2 linked regions of the Daphnia pulex genome follow. The protein of the gene in region 2 interacts with the protein of the main gene of each other region in a biochemical or structural test. Links are inferred from orthologs where the notes say so. Each region holds a gene or a part of one and is shown on either strand. Other genes may lie near its edges. The genes, in order: coatomer subunit delta-like and coatomer subunit beta-like.

Region 1 (7,650 bases), on a different chromosome or scaffold from region 2:
AACCTGCATGTGATCGACTGACTGGTTTTGGTCGGTAGGCGATACTACTCCCGTATTAGTAGTGTACATGGTGTTAACATTCGGTACTGGCACAGAAGTGGCATAAAACGGATTATGGGCGAGCCGGTTTGGAGTCTGATAATAGCTATTCGAATTAGCCGGCTATACAAAAGTCGGTAAATAAAGTTGATAAGAATTGTTAAAAAGTATTTGCAAATGTTTACCAGTGGATTGTGATTGTTACTGTTAGCCCGTTTGACTGCTGGAGCAACGTTAAGCTTGCGATCTCCCCACATTACAGAATCATTTTGCACTGACGCCTATAAAATGTACACACTCTTGCATAACATAACAATAAATCAAGATAATGACATAGCAATTACTTGTATGGCTCTCCTGGCATCTGCTTCACTGAAGAAAGTGACGAATCCATAAGATTTGTTGCGGGCGTGTTCTGGTATGATTTTGACATCTCGTATCTTACCGAAGCGATTAAATAGCATAATAAGGTCACGCTCGACCAAATTTGGAGGGATGTTGCCCACAAAAACTCTATTTGAAATCAGCCGCCCAGGTGTGTTGGGCGTCGCTGATGCGGATGACTCATGCTGTCGGGTGATTCCACTGTGGGTTGCAACTTTTTCCAACTGTCGATAGAAAAATAAACCAAAATTTACTCTAATATAAGAAAACCGAGCACGTGGTCGTACAAAATTGGGATGTCAATTGAACGACCTTGAGTCGACAGTTTCCTGTAAAGAGAAGGGGAAAGGAAAACACGCGCCGGTTAGAAGATGTCCACTCCCCCCTCCCCATTGCAGACCAAGAAACATAAAATATTAAAGCAAGGCCACATCACTGTAATTTACTTATCTCCCTCTTCCCAAGCAAAACATTCCACATTTCAACAACTTGAGTCGAAACTTGCAAGAAAAAAAAAACACGTACAGCCATCAGTTTGACATTAGTTGACTTAAGTTAAACTCTGATCACACTTTACGTCATCAAGTTAAAATGGAGGCCATAGTGAACTGTAACGGAAAAAAGAGTTGACCTGATGACAGGCAATCGACTTAATTACATATTCTAACGAAGAATTTAGCCCGATTCTTAACACGAATCACATCGAAGAAATACTCAAATGAAAAAGTAGAAACTTACCATGATTCAAGTTGACCGGATAAATGATCAGAGCTCAGTCACGTGTGTATGGCCGGCGCGTGCGAGAAAGATTTAACGAGTCGTTGCACCACCACCTTCAAAGTCTCAGAATCAACTGTTCAGAAAAAAAGCAGAGAGGTCGATCCTTTTCGAGCCGATATCCCATCCACCGATTTCCCCAGGTCTTTTCCTCTCCATTCCTCTTTTCCGTTGGGCCAATCATGGGCGACCAGCAATTTTGAAAAACACTGCGGTCTCTTATGGCAACTCTGTGGGGCTTTGATTTCATTCAAAATTAATTAAGTTAAGCTATTTATAATTCGGAAATTCAAATACATGTTAACTGTAGTCGCGAGATGTTGCGCTTTGAATCGTTAATTACAAGGAATCTGCATTGCATTAATTCATTTTGATTTTTACAATAGTATTCGTTTCCATTTATTTTAAATGCATTCTTCTGGTATCGGAATGGATCAAAATGAACTCGTTCTACTGCTCCTATATCGTGATTTGGAGGGGATAATAAAATACTTTTTCTTTCTCCGAGATGTAGAAGTGTCTAGAGAAAAAAAAATCTGAGTTGCGTAGCTCCTCCTCCTCCAGGGGGAGGAGAAGTCTCTACCACACTCCGTTAGGACGAATGTGACGTGATCTGGTGATCATAATGACACTCGATTGCGTGATCGCAAATCTTAACTGTCGCCTGTCGGACACTCGATGGGTTGAATAAATGAATACAAATAAATCTAATTCATTTCTGTTAACCAGATAAGAATTTTCAATACAATCAGTAGTTTTTATATCCTCTAATTGTATTTAATGTAAAACAGGTACCTTATAATTATTAATTAATGCCCAATCTTTCAGAAATTTAAACAAGAAAATCTGAATCATTTTATTTATTTCATGTCGCTTCTAAGCTATAAGAAACAAAATTTATTGAAAAAAAACGTGACACGATACAACAAAAAAGTTCTAGTCGATTTCGGAGACTCATTTTCGTTGCAAAAGCACTTTCTGTTTCTGTTATTTAGCTCTTGTGGGCATTTTACCAAAATCGCCAAATATAGAATAATGGTTGAAATGGGTTGGCCTGCACATACAGCGAATAAATCCTCTCACTATTTTCCCATTATCATGTTAAGATCCTTTCACAATAGTTCACCGTAGTTTTCGTCATGGGTTCAGCAATCAGGTAATCATAAAGTAAACAATGACAGCCTCAGACTTATACGGAGAAAGTGGTTGCATGCTACAAATTCGACAGATAGACGCAAATTCGTTAACCAACTAAATTCGTTAACCAACTAAATTCGTTTTCGTTAACTTGAACATTTTATTCGGATTATTTTTCGAGTAGCATTAAACAGAAAATACATTAAAAAAAATCCTTTTTGTGTGGACTGGAGTTGAGTAAAAAGGAGTAGTTATGAGATCATTTTCGAGACTTGCCTTGACTAGTTGTTTTGAGTCGTTTTGCCGAATTTCTGATGTCACATGCGAATATGCGATCTTGCCGAACTCAATCGAACATTTTACCCATCATAATGTTGTTTCCTTTGTTTTACTTTGAAAGCAATAACTCAGTGAAACACGCAGAAAATTATGATGCATTCGAATACCAAAATATTTACCGCCAGACATCAATCAGCCATTGCCAGAAACGGGCCCTTGCTTCAGTTTTATTTATTTTTCAATTTGAAAATGGCAACCCTGGAAAAACAGTTGACGATCCACGTCATCTTGTGCCGTCAGTTCTTAGGATCTTGAATCCTCCCTGAAAAGTTGTGGTAAAAGGGGTCCGATAAAGTCTTTAGGAGCCTTTAATCTGCGCAATAATGGTATGATCAACGAACCTAAGTGTTTTTAATTTTATGAAAATATTTACTATGGGCGTTGTTGAAGTTGTCATTGGGGTTGCACAACCGGCCCATCTGACATTTGGCTAAACTTTCGTCTACGTGGATATTTTATTATGATTTCTTCAATAGTGCTTTACATCATCAAAATAACTTAAAACATTTCAATCATATAACTATGATTAACTTTGATTGTTAGGACATGCATTCTAGTATACCAGACTACTTCGGAAAGCTAGCAATACATTTTGATTTCTGAAAGATTGTGTGCTGTATCTTTAGCAACAGTAGCCTAGAAAACATGGGCTTTTAATATCGTTGAAGCAATACCAAGTTGCCAATGTTATTTCGCAACAAAAAATATGTTTGTTGTCATTTCTGTGATTTTGTTCCACTTGTGACACTTGTTCATTAATTTTCATTATTATTCAGGTTCTCATTGCAGCTGCTGTTTGCACCAAGGGTGGAAAAGGTGTGTTGCAAAGTTTTACAAAAATGATGCATAAAATAATAGAAATGACTTTTTTTTTCTCAATTACAGCCTTGGTGTCAAGACAGTTTGTGGAGATGACCAAATCCAGAATAGAAGGTCTCTTAGCTGCCTTTCCTAAACTAATGTCTTCAGGAAAAGCTGCTCAACAACAACACACTTTTGTTGAAACAGAATCGGTTAGATATGTTTATCAACCTTTAGACAAAGTGTATGTATTACTTATCACAACGAGGGCATCCAATATCTTGGAGGATTTAGAAACTTTACGTCTTTTCGCTCGTGTGGTAATAATTTATAAGATCTTCTCATTAGTAGGTTTGCTAACATTAAATTCATGTAGGTACCTGAATATTGCCGCACTTTTGAAGAATCCGAAATCCGGGAAAATGCCTTCAATTTGATATTTGCCTTTGACGAAATCGTTGCTCTTGGCTATCGCGAAAACGTTAATTTGGCTCAAATTCGAACATTTGTCGAAATGGATTCACACGAAGAGAAAGTCTACCAGGCTGTTAGACAGGTTTGGATTTTCTCATTTAAGTAGTTGTTTGGTCTTATTTCACTATTTTTTTCCCCATAAAGACACAAGAACGAGATGCCAAGATGAAAATGCGAGAGAAAGCCAAAGAATTGCAGAGACAGCGAGTTGAATCTAATAAAAGGGGCATCAAGTCTCCCATTTCATCTTCTGGAGGTTACGGGCCATCTCCCATGGCTGCTTCGATTCCGACTGAGCCTCCTAAGCCAACTTATCAACCAGCTGTTGTGTAAGTGAATTCGCTAATTATTTTTCCGCTCAACTAGTTCTTAACTGACAGCGTGGTACTTTTCTTAGAAAACCTAATGGCCCGAGCAAAGCCCTCAAGCTTGGGGGCCGTCTGAAGGACGCCGAAATATTTGTTGACCAACTAAAATCAGAAGGCGAGAATGTAAACTCGTTCCAGTCCCCCGCTTCCGTAGTCCAAGGTGGTTCTGTGAGCTCAAACAAACTGCCGCCATCAACCATCGCTACCGAACCGTAATTTACAATACCTCAATGCTTATTAAAATTTAACGCTTGACTGTAATTTCTTTTATCCAGAGTCCAACTTCGAATAGAAGAAAAGCTTAGCCTCAGTTGTGGACGTGACGGTGGATTACACAACATGGAAATTCATGGCTTACTAACACTTTTTATTACTGATGAGACTTACGGTCGAGTCCGCGTACAGGTAAAATGATTTCCTTTGCATTGTGTTTATTTTCTTTTTTCAAAATTCGACTGATTTATCCATAGGTGGAGAACAGAGATAGTCGCGGAATTCAAATTCAAACTCATCCTAACGTTGACAAGGAACTATTTCGCACTAAGCAGCACATTGCATTGAAGAATGCCACAAAACCGTTCCCATTGAATACGGATGTTGGTGTACTTAAGTGGCGTTTCCAAACACAAGACGAAAATATGATTCCACTGAACAGTAATTCATCATCTTAATTACGTTGTCTGGCAAAATTTAATGATTTAAAAAAAATTATAGTTAATTGCTGGCCAGCTGAAAACGGACGTGGAGGCTGTGACGTTAATATTGAATTCGAACTTCAAGATGATCGATTAGAGCTGAACGACGTTGTCATTGTCATTCCGTTGCCGTAAGACTTTTTTCTATTAGGCTCTAGGTGCAACTCATCATCTTTCGTTTATTCGTGTAGTCATGGTTGCGGAGCACCGAATGTTTCCGAGTGTGAAGGAGAGTATCAGTATGAACCAAGGAAAAATCAGCTTTCGTGGCAACTCCCCGTTGTGGACTCTTCCAATAAAAGTGGAGCTATGGAGTTTTCATGTCAGGGCCATGCGAATGACTTCTTCCCAATCAATGTCAACTTCTATTCGAAGCGCTCCTATGCTGAAATATCGGTACGGTTGCAATCTGTGTTTATTTATTCCATTTGTCTACAATTTTCCCATTTTCGTTGTAGGTAAATGATGTCGTACTAGTAGATGACGGCACATCGGTGAAGTATGCGGCCGATTCCAATTTTTTTACGGAGAAGTACGAAATCCTTTGAATGTTTTGCTTCTGAAATCCGTGGAAGTAGCAAAGTGTTCGTGATTTTGCCAGTTGCCCCTCACCCCCTGTCGTTAGCGTCAACACAAACAAACTGATGAACTCCTTGACTGTCAACTGGAGGAGAGGGGTGAGGAATGAGAAAGACTTTAGGTTACCATCTGTGGTTAATATTTAATGCCAACGTGCAGTTCGTTTTTCCCGTCTCTGAATCGATTCAACCTCCTCAAATTCACCCTTTTTTCTCCCACCTTTCATAACAAAGCAATTTAAAGCGCTGAAGTTTGTTGAGCCGCCCAGTAAATATGATATATTGAAATCTAAAAGTTTTTTCTTCCTTTTTTTCTACGTGCATATATCTTTGAATCAGCAGCGGCACTCATGTTTGGGCGTGTTTTCTTTTCTCTTTTCTTTCATCTCTTTTTCTTTCTCCGTTTGTTTATGTTTTCGATCAGTTAAGAGTTCAGAAAACTCTTATCATGTGTTGTCGTTGGAACAGTGTACACTGCTGGGGTTGCATGGCATACAGTATATCAATTAAAAGCTGTATTATTTCCAAGTCTTCTGGATTTCTCATACCTTGTTATCTTGCTTGCTTTTTTATCTATGAAATATTAGCCTAGCTTAAAGAAGAAGAAGGAAAGAAACAGCATTGAAAATTAACAAACCACATCTGTATTCAAAGCTTTACCCACAATTTTACTTCCTTTTACTATGTACGTTTGACTAAGAGAAGATAAAAATCCGCGCATCTATTTGGATGGGCGTACATTAGCAGCTACCAAATTGCGATTTTCAGTCTCTTTTTTCGCTTCGTCAAGTATAACTCCTCCTCCCAATGAGACGATTTTTCCGGCCAAGGATACGCCCAACCATTCCGCCAGGGCCAAGCGAGAATTGCCAACACTAGAACTTACAACAGCAGTGTATGATGCAGCTGGTGGAACATCTTCGATATCCTAAATTAATTATGTGATAAGTTATAATGATGCATGTTAATTTTTAATGAAGTTAGAGTAAACATACAACTAGCTCCACTTCCAATGACTGGGTGACGTTTTGTTTCCCATCCAAACTCCATACACCACCCTTAAGGTAGAGCATATCTCCAACTAGACGAGATTCCACAGCCACCGGTGCTGAGCAGCCTCCTTCCAGTGTTCGAAGGAATGCACGTTCAGCAACGCAACTGCAATAGTTGTATAAAATATGATGTGATGTAATATAACGATGAATAGAATTTTACTTACACTAGTAGCGTGTTAGCGTGGCTAAATGGTGCTAAAAGTTGACGAGTAGCAATATCATCTTGGCGGCACTCGATCCCGAGTGCACCTTGGCCAATGGCGTACATGCTCACGTCCGTATCAAGATATTCTGAAATACGCGATTCCCAGTTCATTCGCTTGACTCCAGCTGTCGCTAAAATGAGTGCAGCATACGTTCCTTCGTCGTCTAATTTGCGTAGTCTATCACAGAAACTCGCGATTAATGACGAAAGATTTTATCTATCGGCGAAATTATATTATACCTTGTGTTTAAATTTCCCCTTACGTCTTGGATTGCAAGGTGGGGAAAGTGGCGCTTCAATTGAGCTGCTCGGCGCAACGAACTCGTTCCTAATAAATAATGACGGGTTTGAATACTTGATCACTCTTTCTATTGAAATTTTTCAACTGACCTACGACGCTGCCACTTGGTAAAGTTGCTAATGTACACCCGGAAAACTTGGGAGCCATTAAGACTGCGTCTCTAGGATCTTCTCGCCTAAAATGCATGTGAGTAAATAATAGCATGATCATTTTGGTTTTAAAATTACTTACTCTAGAATGGCACCGATGACCATGCCTTCAGGAAGCGTCGTCGGCATGTCTTTAAGTGAGTGTACTACGAGATCGACCTTATTATGTTCCAGAGCCACCTCCAATTCACGAGTGAACAAACTCTTTTCGCCAATTTGTGATAATGCTCTGTCAAGCACCTCGTCTCCGATGGTGGTCATCGTTTCTTTAAATGATAAAAGTTGTTTTATCTGAATTAATTTCATGAAAGGGGCCAGCGAAGCGCAAATATGCGAAAATATTACCGA
Region 2 (7,431 bases):
CGAATTTTCGTAGGCTTAAATCGCACTCCTACCAGTTTCCCTCCAACTTCCTAAAAAATATACACAATTATTTTAATTACAAAATTCATTTGAATCGAACAAGTTGTTGCTGACCGTCATTCGAAGTCTAGCGGAAAGCGGAGGCAACGATACGCGAGATTGTGGAGGGAATCCTGGTTTTGCATCCATAAAAAAATGGAGTGGGCCGATTATTAATGTAGCATCGACATTGTGTGTGGTAGAATTTTCTCTCACTCCAATCAAAACATCGCCCTCCCTTTTAATCTGATCAATGCCTTCCACAGTAGCACTTGGTCTGCGTGAATTGCGTCGAGATGAACCTCGTTTACCCTCCAGTTTCTTGACCGGGCGGCCAGTGTCATCTCTGTAAACGAAACAGCAAATTAAAATGAAAGCTGTAATTTCATTGCTTTAAGTTAGGTATTACTGAAATTTTTCTGATGAAATATCCTCATTGAATTCCAGTTTTCTTTGCTTAATATCGTTTTCATTGAGCAGCTGAAGATTGTACTCGATAGTGCCGTCGTCGAGCACAACAGGAGATGGCTTTTGGGTCCGATAAAACTGGGTTGCATTAGTCTTCTGTGGTTGTTTAAAATTAAGGGAAATTTCTGTGGCTGTTTCATAATCATCGTCGTCGTCATTCTCTTCTTCAGTTGCTATGATCTCTTTTTCTTCCGAAACAGTGGAAGACTCTTCAGCAATACTTTCGGTTGCGATTTCGATTGCCGCTTCCCCTTCCACATTCGTCTCATCATCATCGACGTCTTCATCACTTTCGGTTGCATCGCTTTCAACTGCTTCCGTTCCGGGATCCCCAGCGGCTCTTTCTGTACGAATTTTCCTTTCCACTTCGGTTGTTTGCGTTTCATTTATTGCAAGGAAAGCCCAAGGAGATATTTTCATGTCCTCGCGAAAGTTGCTAATGACGAGAACAATACAATGTAATGAGTAAATGTATAGAAAGTTTTTAGAAAATTATAATAAACTCACTTCAATTTTAGTGAAAACGTTGATGAATTTTCGTTGGCTAAATTTAGAGACAAACTCTCGAGCATTTCATCCAGAGCTTTGTTCAATTGATCTGTACTAGACGAACGAGCCAAGTATTGAATTGGTTTAAAAATGGGTCGTTTATTCTTTCCGTATCCTTTCTTGTCATTCTGTGGGCGGCGTTTGCGTCCATTGGGTTTTTTACCTAGTGATTCAGAAATATGTACAATATCACTAAATAAAATTGGGACTTTTAAAAATTACCTTTCTTCCTCAGTTGATTAATACGATTCTGACGTCGCTTATTATTTCGACGTTTCTTTTTCCTGCTTTGCCTTCTCTCAACACTTGTAGCTGATGAAATTTCTTCGACATTGACGTCGACTGATTCTACTTGAAGATCCGGAAGTAACAATTTCGTTTCATTCTTTGCATTGATCACGGATGTTTCGATTGTTAGGCTGCCCTCCAAACTTGCGTCTTTTTTCTCTGTATTAGAAAAATGAAATGAAATTTGTTTGTTGCTTGATGAACAAACTTAAGTTAAATTTACAGTTAAAAACTCAACCAAAGTGTTTTTTAACTGAAATTATTTTCAGTTAACGCCCTTTGATGGTAAGGGGCAAGGCACTTGGAAGCGATAGCAATACAATAACAGTTATCAGAAAACTTAGCGTGAGAGTTTCCGAGTAAGGTTATTTGAAGGGTAAAATTACGACATTAACGGACTTTTCAGTGAATTCCTTACCTTCACTGAAATGTGACAAAACAGGCGATACAAACAAAAAAACTAAAAATAGAAGGAACAATCGCATGATGAACTCTCAACAGCGAATGACGACACCCCAATTAAAAATGAACTCGAAAATCAGAAAGTCTTGTATACTGGCCGATGACTTGGAGCCGTCTGTTCACTAACAGCAGTTGTCTTTCTTTATAGCTAGCTGTAACATCATGCTCTGTGGTGCCTGTGAGGAAAAAATCAAATGTCTTTCCGATTGCCGGTGGCGTCAAAAGAAGAAGACCCTAGTTTCCCTCTTACGGGAAAGCGTGATGTTTATCTATCGTGAGGATGGCCTCATTCTACCCACACGCTTTTTTTAAATATAAGATAATTTCTTTTACGTTGAAAATATAACATGTTTGCATTATAAAACGTTTTTTAAAAATTTAAAGATATTTTACTTGAATACTTGAACTTTTTTTAGATGGAAGGCCTACCAACACAAAAAAAACAAATTTTAAGGAAAGATCATCGTAGACGCAACAATGATAGTCGCGGAAATTTCCATGATTCCTTTTGCTCAATGCCTCAGTTAGTTTAAAACGATGAAAATAAATAATAAATGAAAAGTATCCTGAACAAACATAATTACATTTGATGCTAATAACATAAAACATAAATATTTAATATCGATTAGCTATAGGCTACAGTGAGCCGAGCGAACCAACGAAGTAACGACCATATTAAACGTATTAAAGCTGGTAACTACGAAATAGAGATATAACGGCCAGTACCTTCGGATGCTAATCGTTTCCAATTCTAATTTTCTGTGATTAATGGCAAGACGATTAATATGCAATCTGCATATTGTGAAGCAGTGAAGGTATGGAGATTGTGGCCATCTGCACATTCTATTTCGAACGAACATTTCTATTATCAAATAACTAAGAACAAATTGTATCGTCTCTTAAAGGCTTTGCCGATTAAATGGACGAAAAATTCTAACTAACTCCCATCAAAATACCTTTACACATTGAAAACAAACTGACCATTGCCGAAGATGGAGACGTGACTGGTGCTGGTCTTCAAACCTGCTTCAAACGTGTCGAAGAAGTTCACAGTGGTTCAGAGAAACATGGGTGACGATGACTAGGCAGTTGACACATTGTTTATCCGGGAAACCCACAAAAACTCTTGTTTTGATGGTACAGAGAGAGAGTATGCCTGGAAAATCTGGAAACCAACACAAGCTGGGACTGAATATCTATTTTGAATAAAAATAACAAAAAAACAACGTCAAAATTAAAACTCATAATGGCAACATGGCTGCGTGGTTGTCAATTTTACGAATTAAGATCTGTCGCTTACCGACTGACGTGGGTATTTTCTGACATTCTGCAACGTCAAAGGTTTCGTGAATTTCCTTCGTTTCATATAGTTACGGCTCACACAGAAAACACAACAAGCCGTTGTAATACAAAGAAATCAAGGCAAGTCATCCGACATTTTGGAATCGTTATTCAGTGTTCAACAAATACCATCGTTATAGATTTCGAATGGGTTGCGGGTCGCTGTCACAATAACATTTCATCGAGCGTAAACCGGTCCAAGTTTTCACGATTCATGTATTGTTTTGTTTTTACAGATGTCTGTGACTGAGCAACCTTGTTATACCCTCATCAGTACTCCAGATTCTGACTATCCACCTCCAGATCAGCTGCGAAAAGAGTTGGAAATTGGAGATATCAAAGCCAAGATTGATGCTTTAAAAAAGGCCATTTACATAATTTTAAATGGAGAAAAGATTCCAGGAATCCTCATGGCAGTGGTCAAATTTGTGCTGCCACTTCAGGATCATAATGTCAAGAAACTTCTGTTGATATTCTGGGAAATCATTCCAAAGACTTCAGCAGATGGAAAACTCTTGCATGAAATGATTCTCGTCTGTGATGCTTACAGGAGAGATTTGCAACATCCAAATGAATTTATTAGAGGATCAACATTACGTTTTCTTTGCAAGCTTAAGGTAAGCCAATTTCTTTTATACCTTAATTTATTGATAAGCTAATCTTTTGTAATTTACTTTTTAGGAACCTGAAATCTTAGAACCGTTGATGCCATCGATCAGGTCGTGTTTGGAGCACCGACATTCTTACGTTCGACGCAATGCTGTTTTGGCAATTTACACAATTTACCGCAATTTTGATTTCCTCATTCCTGACGGGCCAGAATTGATTGCCAATTTTCTAGAACGTGAACAGGACATGTCCTGTAAACGTAATGCATTCATGATGTTGATTCACGCTGACCAAGAAAGGGCGCTCTCCTATCTTACCTCTTGCATCGATCAAGTAATAGAACTATTTTAAGGTTTCCAATTTCCAAACAAACTTAAGGAAAACAAAATCTGTTAGGTTCACTCCTTCGGTGATATTCTGCAATTGGTCATCGTTGAACTTATCTACAAAGTGTGTCACGCCAATCCTAGTGAGCGATCGCGTTTCATTCGTTGTATCTACAGTCTCTTGAATGCCACCAGTCCGGCCGTTCGCTACGAAGCTGCTGGCACTCTAGTAACCTTATCGTCCGCACCGTCGGCTATTAAAGGTATTATTCATATTCACTAATATTTAATTTGGGTTTCCAACTTAATATGTTTTCTCTTCTTCTTGAACAGCTGCTGCTAGTTGCTACATCGAAATTATCTTAAAGGAAAGCGACAATAATGTGAAGTTGATTGTGCTGGATCGTTTGATCGCCTTGAAAGAGCAGCCGAATCAAGAACGTGTCTTGCAGGTATCTTGAATTTAATCATTCACATGTTACAAAATATTAATTATGTAATTCATTTCAGGAATTGGTGATGGACATCTTGCGGGTATTGGCTACTCCAGATTTGGAAGTACGAAAGAAGACACTATCCCTTATACTTGATTTAGTGTCTTCGCGAAACATAGAAGATATCGTGCTCGTTTTGAAAAAGGTAAGAATTCCGGTGAAATGGTAAATCGATAGGAATAATTTTCTATTGATGAATTATCTTGTAGGAGGTAACAAAGACGCACAACACAACCGAGCATGAAGATACGGGAAAGTATCGGCAACTTTTGGTGCGCACTCTTCACTCGTGTTGCATCAAGTTTCCTGACATTTCTGCGACCGTCATCCCTGTACTGACTGAATTCCTTTCCGACACCAACGAGCTAGCAGCCGCCGATGTTTTGGTCTTTGTTCGCGAAGCGATTCAGAAGTTCGAAGGACTTCGTCCATTAATCATCGAAAAACTTTTAGAAGCCTTTCTTTCCATCAAGTAAGTTTAAATAACTCCATTTCGTTTTTACTGGCAGCAATTCTACATTAGATGTTTTTTTTTTTTTCAAAGATCCGTCAAGGTGCACCGTGCAGCAATTTGGATCTTGGGCGAATACGCCACTTCGGCTGATGACATTCGTTCAGTTATGTCCAAAGTGCGACAATCGCTTGGCGAAATTCCAATCGTGGATGACGAAATCCGAAAAGCAGCAGGAGAGCAGACCGATCCGGAAAATCCTTTAGCACAGGGAACTGGGAGCGTTACTAATCCTGTTGCTTCTAGCGCCCGCTTGGTAACTGCAGATGGTACATACGCTACGCAGTCTATCTTCAGTGCTGCCGTAACAACCGCCAAAAAAGAAGAAAGGCCTCCTCTTCGAAAGTATGTCAATTCTGTTGATGTCGTTCCATTTAGCATTGCATTCATAATTAAATTTCTTTGTAGATATCTGATGGAAGGCGATTTCTTCATTGGTGCATCAATGGCTACAACTATGACAAAGCTGGCCTTACGTTTTGTTCAACAAGTGTCGAACCCGCAAACGCAAAACCAGTTTTGTGCCGAAGCCATGCTAGTGATTGCAGCGATTCTTCATTTGGGTCGTTCGGGACTGCCTCAGAAACCAATTAGCAATGACGATGCTGAAAGATTGGGGCTTTGCCTTAAGGTAAGTTATCAATGGTAAAAAATGAGTGAACCCCCATTACAATTTTCTTTTTCGACATAGGTGCTCTCGGATCGATCACCGATTTTAGTAGAAGTATTTACCGATGCCTGCCGTAGATCCATTTCACTTATGTTAGCTGCCAAAGCTGAGGAAGAAGCTGCTGCCCAAAAGAACTTAGAAAAGAACAGCCGATCAATCCAAGCCGACGACTTGGTCTCTTTCAAGCAACTGCTTTCACGCAATGAACTTGGTGGCCTCGAAGACGTATTTGAATCAAGTTTGTCGCAAGCTTTGGTAGGATCCGCTCAGCGAACTGGATTAGATCTGAGCGTCTCAAAACTGAACAAGGTGACGCAGTTGACTGGTTTCTCTGATCCTGTATACGCCGAAGCGTACGTAAACGTGAACCAATACGACATCGTACTTGATGTTTTGATTGTCAATCAAACGGCTGACACCCTTCAAAACTGCACGTTGGAATTGGCAACTCTCGGTGATCTGAAACTGGTAGAAAAGCCTTCGGCTATCATTTTGGCTCCGCACGATTTCGCCAACATTAAGGCCAGCGTTAAGGTATGCTCTTTTTAATTATTACTAAATGAATTATTACTAATTGTTTTTCATGCCTGTATTTATCCATTAATTAAAGGTGGCATCGACGGAGAATGGTATTATCTTTGGAAATATAGTCTATGATGTTACTGGCTCGACATCGGACCGTAACGTCGTGGTACTGAATGACATTCACATTGATATCATGGACTATATCATGCCTGCCAGCTGCACTGATGCTGAATTCCGACAGATGTGGGCTGATTTCGAATGGGAGAACAAAGTCACCGTCAATACTAATATCAACGATCTAAATCTTTATTTGCAACATCTGCTCAAGTAAGTGGGATCATTTCTTTTGTCCTTCTAAATTTCCTAGTATAAATTAATTTCTTTGTGTAGATCGACAAATATGAAGTGTCTGACTCCAGAGAAGGCACTAGCTGGTGATTGTGGATTCATGGCAGCCAACTTGTATGCTCGTTCAGTCTTTGGAGAAGATGCGTTAGCTAATCTCAGTTTAGAGAAACCATTCGGTAAACCCGACGCACCAGTTACAGGACACATTCGAATTCGTGCCAAGAGTCAAGGAATGGCTCTCAGTCTCGGCGACAAAATTAACACGATTCAAAAGGCTTCTGTAAAGTCTCCTGTGGCTTAAAATGTAATTGTAGAATTTTCCTCTACAATTATTTCCATACTTTTTTCATTCATTTTCTATGATTCAAAACTTTTCCCAAATTCAAATGTCTATTTGTTGCAAGTATTTTCCCCTCATCTACATTCTTTTAGAAATATTTGGAATGCAGTTGTTACTTGATTAGTTTTGCATCATCAATATAACTGTGGGCTGTTATATTAAAATGTAGTTCACAATTGCTGCTCTTTGCATATAAAATTAATCAATGCATGCAAATACGGAACTTTGAGATAGGACCAAAATTAAATTAAAACTAGCATACTTGTGCGCGATATTGGGAAATGCTTAACTTAAATTGACGCCATTTCTTTGCTGTCTCGATTGTTCCCTTTGTCGTTCAACATAATCTTGTTAGCACCATTTACAGTGGTGTTCTACATATTTTAAAATCACGAAAGTTAAACAGGCGTTAAATAGGACAAAGCATTTAAATTTCACATTACTTGGTCGACTAGTAGTTT

What was found.
Region 1: the proteins of coatomer subunit beta-like (region 2) and coatomer subunit delta-like form a complex in vitro, tested with the Homo sapiens proteins (2 studies listed by BioGRID). The link is inferred for Daphnia pulex from reciprocal best matches to the Homo sapiens genes COPB1 and ARCN1.

What each region holds. Positions count from the first base shown.
Region 1 is NC_060022.1:6,327,295-6,334,944, forward strand, and holds coatomer subunit delta-like, read left to right. Parts: upstream 1-2,864; 5' UTR 2,865-2,999; coding exon 3,000-3,002; intron 3,003-3,452; coding exon 3,453-3,492; intron 3,493-3,561; coding exon 3,562-3,797; intron 3,798-3,853; coding exon 3,854-4,033; intron 4,034-4,095; coding exon 4,096-4,280; intron 4,281-4,348; coding exon 4,349-4,531; intron 4,532-4,594; coding exon 4,595-4,724; intron 4,725-4,789; coding exon 4,790-4,973; intron 4,974-5,033; coding exon 5,034-5,145; intron 5,146-5,205; coding exon 5,206-5,410; intron 5,411-5,472; coding exon 5,473-5,562; 3' UTR 5,563-6,120; downstream 6,121-7,650. Other genes in the region: uncharacterized protein LOC124195439, read right to left, coding at 1-162, 225-320, 384-647, 1,162-1,164; porphobilinogen deaminase-like, read right to left, coding at 6,314-6,520, 6,588-6,750, 6,812-7,030, 7,093-7,180, 7,243-7,328, 7,385-7,568, 7,648-7,650. UniProt on the Homo sapiens protein: Component of the coatomer, a cytosolic protein complex that binds to dilysine motifs and reversibly associates with Golgi non-clathrin-coated vesicles, which further mediate biosynthetic protein transport from the ER, via the Golgi up to the trans Golgi network.
Region 2 is NC_060020.1:2,117,083-2,124,513, reverse strand, and holds coatomer subunit beta-like, read left to right. Parts: upstream 1-3,076; 5' UTR 3,077-3,228; intron 3,229-3,383; coding exon 3,384-3,764; intron 3,765-3,828; coding exon 3,829-4,089; intron 4,090-4,152; coding exon 4,153-4,345; intron 4,346-4,415; coding exon 4,416-4,534; intron 4,535-4,592; coding exon 4,593-4,721; intron 4,722-4,785; coding exon 4,786-5,048; intron 5,049-5,120; coding exon 5,121-5,432; intron 5,433-5,495; coding exon 5,496-5,718; intron 5,719-5,778; coding exon 5,779-6,291; intron 6,292-6,367; coding exon 6,368-6,609; intron 6,610-6,672; coding exon 6,673-6,931; 3' UTR 6,932-7,148; downstream 7,149-7,431. Other genes in the region: uncharacterized protein LOC124192347, read right to left, coding at 1-50, 115-385, 449-943, 1,015-1,219, 1,279-1,503, 1,763-1,829; START domain-containing protein 10-like, read right to left, coding at 7,261-7,344, 7,414-7,431. UniProt on the Homo sapiens protein: The coatomer is a cytosolic protein complex that binds to dilysine motifs and reversibly associates with Golgi non-clathrin-coated vesicles, which further mediate biosynthetic protein transport from the ER, via the Golgi up to the trans Golgi network.